2 linked regions of the Drosophila melanogaster genome follow. The protein of the gene in region 2 purifies or fractionates together with the protein of the main gene of each other region. This does not show direct contact. Each region holds a gene or a part of one and is shown on either strand. Other genes may lie near its edges.

The links.
Region 1: the proteins of Pfdn2 (region 2) and Pfdn5 purify together in Drosophila melanogaster (affinity purification with western blotting; 2 studies listed by BioGRID, with this or other methods). This does not show direct contact.

Annotation. Positions count from the first base shown.
Region 1 is NT_033777.3:22,485,346-22,488,633, reverse strand, and holds Pfdn5 (prefoldin 5), read right to left. Parts: upstream 1,596-3,288; 5' UTR 1,341-1,595; coding exon 1,242-1,340; intron 1,125-1,241; coding exon 915-1,124; intron 854-914; coding exon 656-853; 3' UTR 553-655; downstream 1-552. Other genes in the region: CG5376 (uncharacterized protein), read left to right, coding at 1-423, 484-552. UniProt on the Drosophila melanogaster protein: Binds specifically to cytosolic chaperonin (c-CPN) and transfers target proteins to it. Binds to nascent polypeptide chain and promotes folding in an environment in which there are many competing pathways for nonnative proteins.
Region 2 is NT_037436.4:11,072,766-11,076,044, forward strand, and holds Pfdn2 (prefoldin 2), read right to left. Parts: upstream 1,624-3,279; 5' UTR 1,482-1,623; coding exon 1,351-1,481; intron 1,247-1,350; coding exon 946-1,246; 3' UTR 527-945; downstream 1-526. Other genes in the region: Mocs1 (molybdenum cofactor synthesis 1), read left to right, coding at 1-392; Noc1 (nucleolar complex protein 1), read left to right, coding at 2,096-2,824, 2,890-3,004, 3,064-3,279. UniProt on the Drosophila melanogaster protein: Binds specifically to cytosolic chaperonin (c-CPN) and transfers target proteins to it. Binds to nascent polypeptide chain and promotes folding in an environment in which there are many competing pathways for nonnative proteins.

The DNA.
Region 1 (3,288 bases), on a different chromosome or scaffold from region 2:
GAAGCCAAGGCGGAAAATGAGCGTTTAAAGCGGAGAGTGGTCCAGTTGGAGCAGTCGCTCAAGCAGTCCGTCATGCTGGGCGGCACAGATGCTCCCAAATCACGACAAGAGCAGGAGGAGCTGCTTCTAAAGGCCAAAACCCTGCTGTTCGAGAAGACCAAGGTGAACAAACAGCAGGAGCAGCAGATATCAGTGCTTAGGACACAAGTAGACTCGATTAAGGATGTGCTGCAGGTGACCAAGGACATGTTGCAGCTAAAGACCGCCGAATGTGATCACACGCAGGCTCGTCTGGAGAAGAGCCAGCAGTGGATCAAGGCGGAGCAAGACAAGTGTGTGCTCACGGAGAAGAAACTAGCCATCTCCAAAGGAGTGTATGACAAGCTGCGTTCGGAGTACGACACCCAGTCACAGATATTCAAGGTGCCTTATAACTCGAGTCCAATGATATACTTGATATACTATTACCTTCTTTCCCTACAGGATCTTAAGTCCGCGTACGAGCAGAAGGTCAAGGTTCTCACCAAGGCTTTGGCAGAAGCCAAGAAATAGCTGAACAATTTAATAAACTACGTTAATTAAATGCACACATCTCGTTAATAAGTTTAATAATTTAATGCTTTCCGTGTCTCGTGTCTCTGTCGTTCTCCGTAGTCTAGGAGCTCTGGGTAACCGCCGGCTGCGATTGCTGCTGCGACTGCAATTTCGCTGCAGCAGCCTGCTTCATCTCCAGCACACTCATCACTGAGTTATAGAAGCGCGTCTTTTGCAGGTGGATCTTTTCGATTTTCTCGATCTGCTCCTGCACGTACTCCACGCGTCGCTTGAAGTAGTCTTTGGAGCCTTCCAGATCCTGTTTGAGAAACAGATGGCAATCAATAAATATTCTAGGTTCGATTGGAAATGTAAATCACCTTTTCAATGTAGTAGCCGGTGCCGATGTCTATGACGAACCTGTTGAGATCCTTGACCCGTCCTGGCACATACATACTGCTGGTCAGGGGCACCAGGATCTGACGGTTCTCCCAATTGGGTTGAAAGGTTCCCAGCGCCTCCTTGGATCCGGCGTACTTGGCTTGACAGCCGTGAAGCGTCGACAGCGAGTCCTGTACGTTGGTAATCTCCTAAGGATCACAAAAATGTACCGATTTTAGAAGCATGTGCCAATTGGGGCGCCCCTCCTCCAGAAACCCCCTCCGCGAGCACACTTGACTCATCACACACCCACATGCGGAACGCACCTGCTCGAACTCCTGCTTGATCTGAATCAGCTGTTCCGGACTCAACTTGGTCAGGTCGATCATCTCGGACTTGGCGGGTGCGCTTGGGGTGGCAGCCATTGCTAGTGCTTACACTTATAATTTACAATTCCACTTTTATTTTATTCAGTCGCCGTATAAGGTTGCCACCTTTGCGTATTCAACTCAACAGGGATGTCATGAAGCTGGGTCAGAAAATATCGATTTCACGGAAGCAATCGGGAATCGAATGATTCGTTGAAATAGTCGGTAGTCCAGTCCCGCCGACGATTTGTTATCGAGTACTAAGCGCGAAGTAAAAATTTAAAAAAAAAATCAGTGACTTCTGAATCTACAATATCTTTTGAGTTTAAAGACAGATCTTACTCAGCAAAAAAGCATTAACCAAACTTGTTTTTCAATTATAGTTTTATTGTATTTATTATATGCAATGTTATAATTCTGTGTTTTGTCAGTCATTCTGTATTTGTATGCGTTTTACAATTTTTGTTTTTGGTTTTCTCGTAAATTATAAAATCTAACACAAAACAAAGCAATTTCTTTAACAATCACTGCCGCTACATATACACGTTACAATTTGTTAAATATATATATATTTATATATATATAAGTAGGCACAGCTCAAGCGCCGCGCATCCAATACATGTTCATATACATATTCTCTGTTATATGTGGGGTGTTGTATGTCGGTTTTTATATATGTATAGATTAGATAACAATGATTTTAAGCCTAAGTAGAAGTAAGTTTTAGTTCCGATACTTGCGATCGTTCCCCTCTATATGCGCTCCCACTCGCAATCGCTGCTCCTCCGATCCTTGAACTATTAAGTTATATGCTTTAACTATGTTATTTTACCCATACAACTAACTGTACTCGTCCTTCGCGATCCTCCCACTATATCATACATACATAACATTTACCTTGATTTGGTTTTGATCTTAATAAAATGTAATTCGTTTTGAAACAATGAAGAAGATCTTGCTTTTGAGGGCGTGTCGATTCGATTTCTTAATCGCGGATATTTTAAGCTCCCCATCTGGATTTTGGATTCAATATCGTGTGCTCGCTGTTAAATCGCAAGGCAAATTTGTATAATTAGTTATATATAATTTGGTTTTCTCTTGAATCGAAACGAATAAACGTTAGTGGTTTACTTTAAATGCAGAGTTTTCATTGTGCAGCATTAACATTGTGAAGAGATAGAGAGAAAGTTGTCGGGAGAGAGTGTTACATTTATAAGTGGGAATGGTTTTGGTTATCAACAGCGTTAAAATTTGTGGTTTCTTTTCGTTTGGTTTCATTATCAAATCGAAGGGACGTAATTCGTAATAATAATCATTGATCGTTAAACATACTCGTACGTTATATGGTATGCATGTATGTATATTTTGTATAGATGTACATTTATAAATAGTATAGTTTGAATGTATGCGTGTATGTCCTGTATATATAGTTGTGTTTATGTACTGTACTGTACTGTATGTACTGTATGTACTGTGTTTCGCTATGTACTTGTAATTGTAATTGTCCTAGGTGTTCATTTCAGCTAGATTCGCTAGTTTGTCTCGTGTTTTCGCTTTCGCTTCCTTTTTGTATACAAGATAAGGGTTTAAAAAACTCGAAAATATATCAAAAGTTTCTTGAAATGCAGTATATATATGTTTTTTAGTTGTTAAATATATATATATATATTCATGTATATATAGTACTTTCCTAGGTATTTACAGCATACCTTGCCTTGGTTTCCATTAAGAATTCGAGAGAAGTATGTCCAGTAATTTCGCTAGTGATCGAATGCGTGAGTTGGTGATTGTGTGAGTGAGGTGAGTGTGCGTGTATTAGTAGTAGTATATCGAGTGTATATAGGTATTTTGTATATCTAATCCAAAATGATACACTAATTGGTATTGATAGTGAGACAAAAATTTTAATATAGCGCATCAAAATGATATATGCGATTATTAATATGTATACAGAATTTAATGGCGGCTTGCTGAATATCGAATTTCGCGTCTATGTATGTGTGCT
Region 2 (3,279 bases):
AACTTACCCAACTTATAGCCGACAATCAAGTGGCCAAGGGAGATGTTCTAACCGTAGCCCAAATTGCTGGCATAATGGGCGCTAAGCGAACCGCCGAACTGATACCCCTGTGTCACAACATCAGCTTGTCCTCCGTGAAAGTGCAGGCCACTCTTCTGAAAACCGAACAATCTGTGCGGCTGGAGGCAACCGTTCGCTGCTCGGGCCAAACTGGAGTCGAGATGGAGGCACTAACTGCAGTTTCAGTGGCCGCTTTAACTGTGTACGACATGTGCAAGGCTGTTTCTCACGATATCTGCATCACAAATGTCCGCCTGCTAAGCAAATCCGGCGGAAAAAGGGACTTCCAGAGGGAGGAGCCGCAAAATGGGATAGTTACAGAAGTCGAATAAGTCGAATACCCGACTAACCGGATTAACCACGATACGGGGAATGGAAAATAAACTACTGCTTACTTGATTTAGCCACAAATATTAAATTAAAAGACTTATGAAGCAAGAATACATAAGTGTAAAAATGTAGATGAAATCACTTCCTTATAGGAAACTAATTTGACTAACATACCAATAAAATGTTTCAGAACAAATGGCATAAAAGGGATAAATAATCATATAGTTTATATAGTTTTTGTTTCCAGTCGGTGGATAGAGGTCCATCCATTTTCAGATCTTGAATGAATCACAAGACACATGACTAATTTCAATCGGAAGTTTAAGGTATCTTTAATTCGTGGCCAGAGTGGGTTAAGTTTAAATGAGGGGAATTGATGGATAGTGTTGGTGTGAAGGTGCGATTGGAGGCGTTTCGCGAACTGCGCCTTACAGCTAGAAGTACATACAACATTAGAAGTGTTCAATAAACGCGGATTATCGCTCGCAAATCCTGGCAGAGTTCCCTCTCAACATAGACACAATAAATACGGTGTGGTGAGGTAATCAATCGCTCTCAGTTGAACACCAGGACATTACGGTTCTCCGCCTTGTCCTCCGCATCGTCGCCCTTGGCTCCTTCGGCAACCAAGTGTTCGCCGCGAATCTTGATATTGTGCTCCTCCTTGAACTTGTTCAGCTCACTGCCCTTTTTGCTCAGGTCATTGGTGACCATTTGGATGGTCTTGGCGATGAAATCCTTGTTCTCCACCAGCTGTGGCAGCACCTCCTTCACGGTCCTTTCGCACAGCACACCACCAATTTGACGAAAGCATTTCCGTTCGGGATCCGCCGCCTCCAGAGTTTCTATCACAGTTCTAGGGAGGATAAGGAGTTATGTCATTGTGTCTGCAGGGATTCTCCCACTTGCCCAAAATCACAAACAGACGTGTCATCCATCTTTGGGCCCCCGGTGACTCACTTGTGTTCCCTCAAATCCATTTCGAGCGTATTTAAACTGTTGACCAAATTGCGCTGCTCATTGCGCAGCTGTTGGAACTGGGCCACAATGGCCTCCTGGCTGAGTGCCGGCTTCGCCGATTCGGTGCTCATTGCAATGTTCGCTATCCAAAAGGACCCCTTCGAAATCTAGACCGGGATAATCGCTTCAAATTGGCGATAATCTGCGATTTTCTTTCAAAATACGAGACCGAACACGAGGACTATGCGATAAACGTCCTAACAAATCCCAAGCGCGTCAAGGCAGTAAGACCGTAAATGTATTGTGGAAAAATGGTGTAACGGTAAAAGAAAATATAGCACAACTTCAGTTACTTAAACATAAGTTAATGTAATAATTTATAAATTAATAGTAATTCTATATAAGAATTTCAATTTTATTCTTACTTATAATCAGATTATAATAACTTCAAGCTTTATATAACTTCAAACCCACCTGCTATCAAAAGTCACGGTCATTTCAATGGTAATTACTGAATAATTTATAAATTTTAAAACTAAGTTGGATACTCTCTTATTTAAGATTTTAAATACAAAATTTTAATATCATAAAGACAATGAAATTCGTCACTAAGTAGACGACATACATATGTTGCTTACGTTTCGCGGTGAATGTCATATTTGAATACACGTGCGAGTTGTTTCTAACGCCGTTTATTTTATTTAATGATTTTTATCTAATATATAGCTTTAGAAAATATAAAATCATGCCGGCAGCAGTGGCCACAGGTGTGCAATTCGGTGGACCGCCCAAAAACAAGAAAATCGTGTTCGACGACTCCGGCGAGGCGGTAGTTAAACAAAACAAAAAGGAGCACCCACAAAGGCCAAAATTTGAAGGGAAGGAACAGGTGAAAAAGCCGCAGAAAATTAAGTTTGGAGAGGATGGAAAAGCGAAAGGTGCTAAGTCCTTTAATAAGAACCACCAAAAGCCGGATTTTGCCAACAAACCACAGAGAATAAAGTTCGGCGATGATGGAGAACAAGTAGCTTCCAAGTCGTTCAACCAAAATCATAAAAATGGACCAAAACCACAGAAAATCAAATTTGGAGAGGATAGAGAAGCAGTGCATCAAAAACCTTTCAACAAAAACAACCATAAACATAATGGTCAAAAGTCGGACTTCGCCAATAAACCTCAGAAAATCAAGTTCACTGATGATGGAGAAGATGAAGTAACTGCGAATTCTTCCAACACAAAGACGGAACCGACCAAGAAGTCCCAAAAAATCAAGTTTGGAGATGACGGAGAGTCCAAGGAGAACTTTAAAAAGCCCCAACGAATCAAGTTTGATGAGGATGGAGCTGGAAAAAATGTATCCGACAGCGATGGAGACAGTGATGAGGAACTGGGGGACTCCATTTCCAAAAAGCACAACAAATATCAGTCAAAAATAGATGAAGACGAGGAGTCCCAAAAGAAGTGGTATCATGTGGTATGTTGAAACTAAACTGAAATCGTGGAAATAAATCATTTATAGTTATCACTATCGTATCTTAGCATCCCGACTATCCGTCCACCGATGAGGTGCTGGACATGAAGGAGAACGATCAGCTGGAGCTGTACAATCTCTGCAAGAATTCCTTCGAAGCGGAGAAGATAACTTTTAATAAACGTAAGACTTTCTCGACTCGGAAATTGGAACCCCTACTAATGTTTTTATCTCATCTTTAGGTAATCCCTCGGATGCTCGCTGGTTGCAAACCGCTCTGCACAAGGGTACTGCAAAGGATCGGGCCAATGCGGGCGCCCTTCTGGTGACGAGCAATCCACTGGGCAATTTGGAAGCATTGAGCACTTTAATTGGCTTCTGCAAGATCTCCAACAAGGCCAGCAATGATGTGATTGCAGTGCTCACGGATTTGTGGCAGGAGGTGCTGCTCCCGCCAA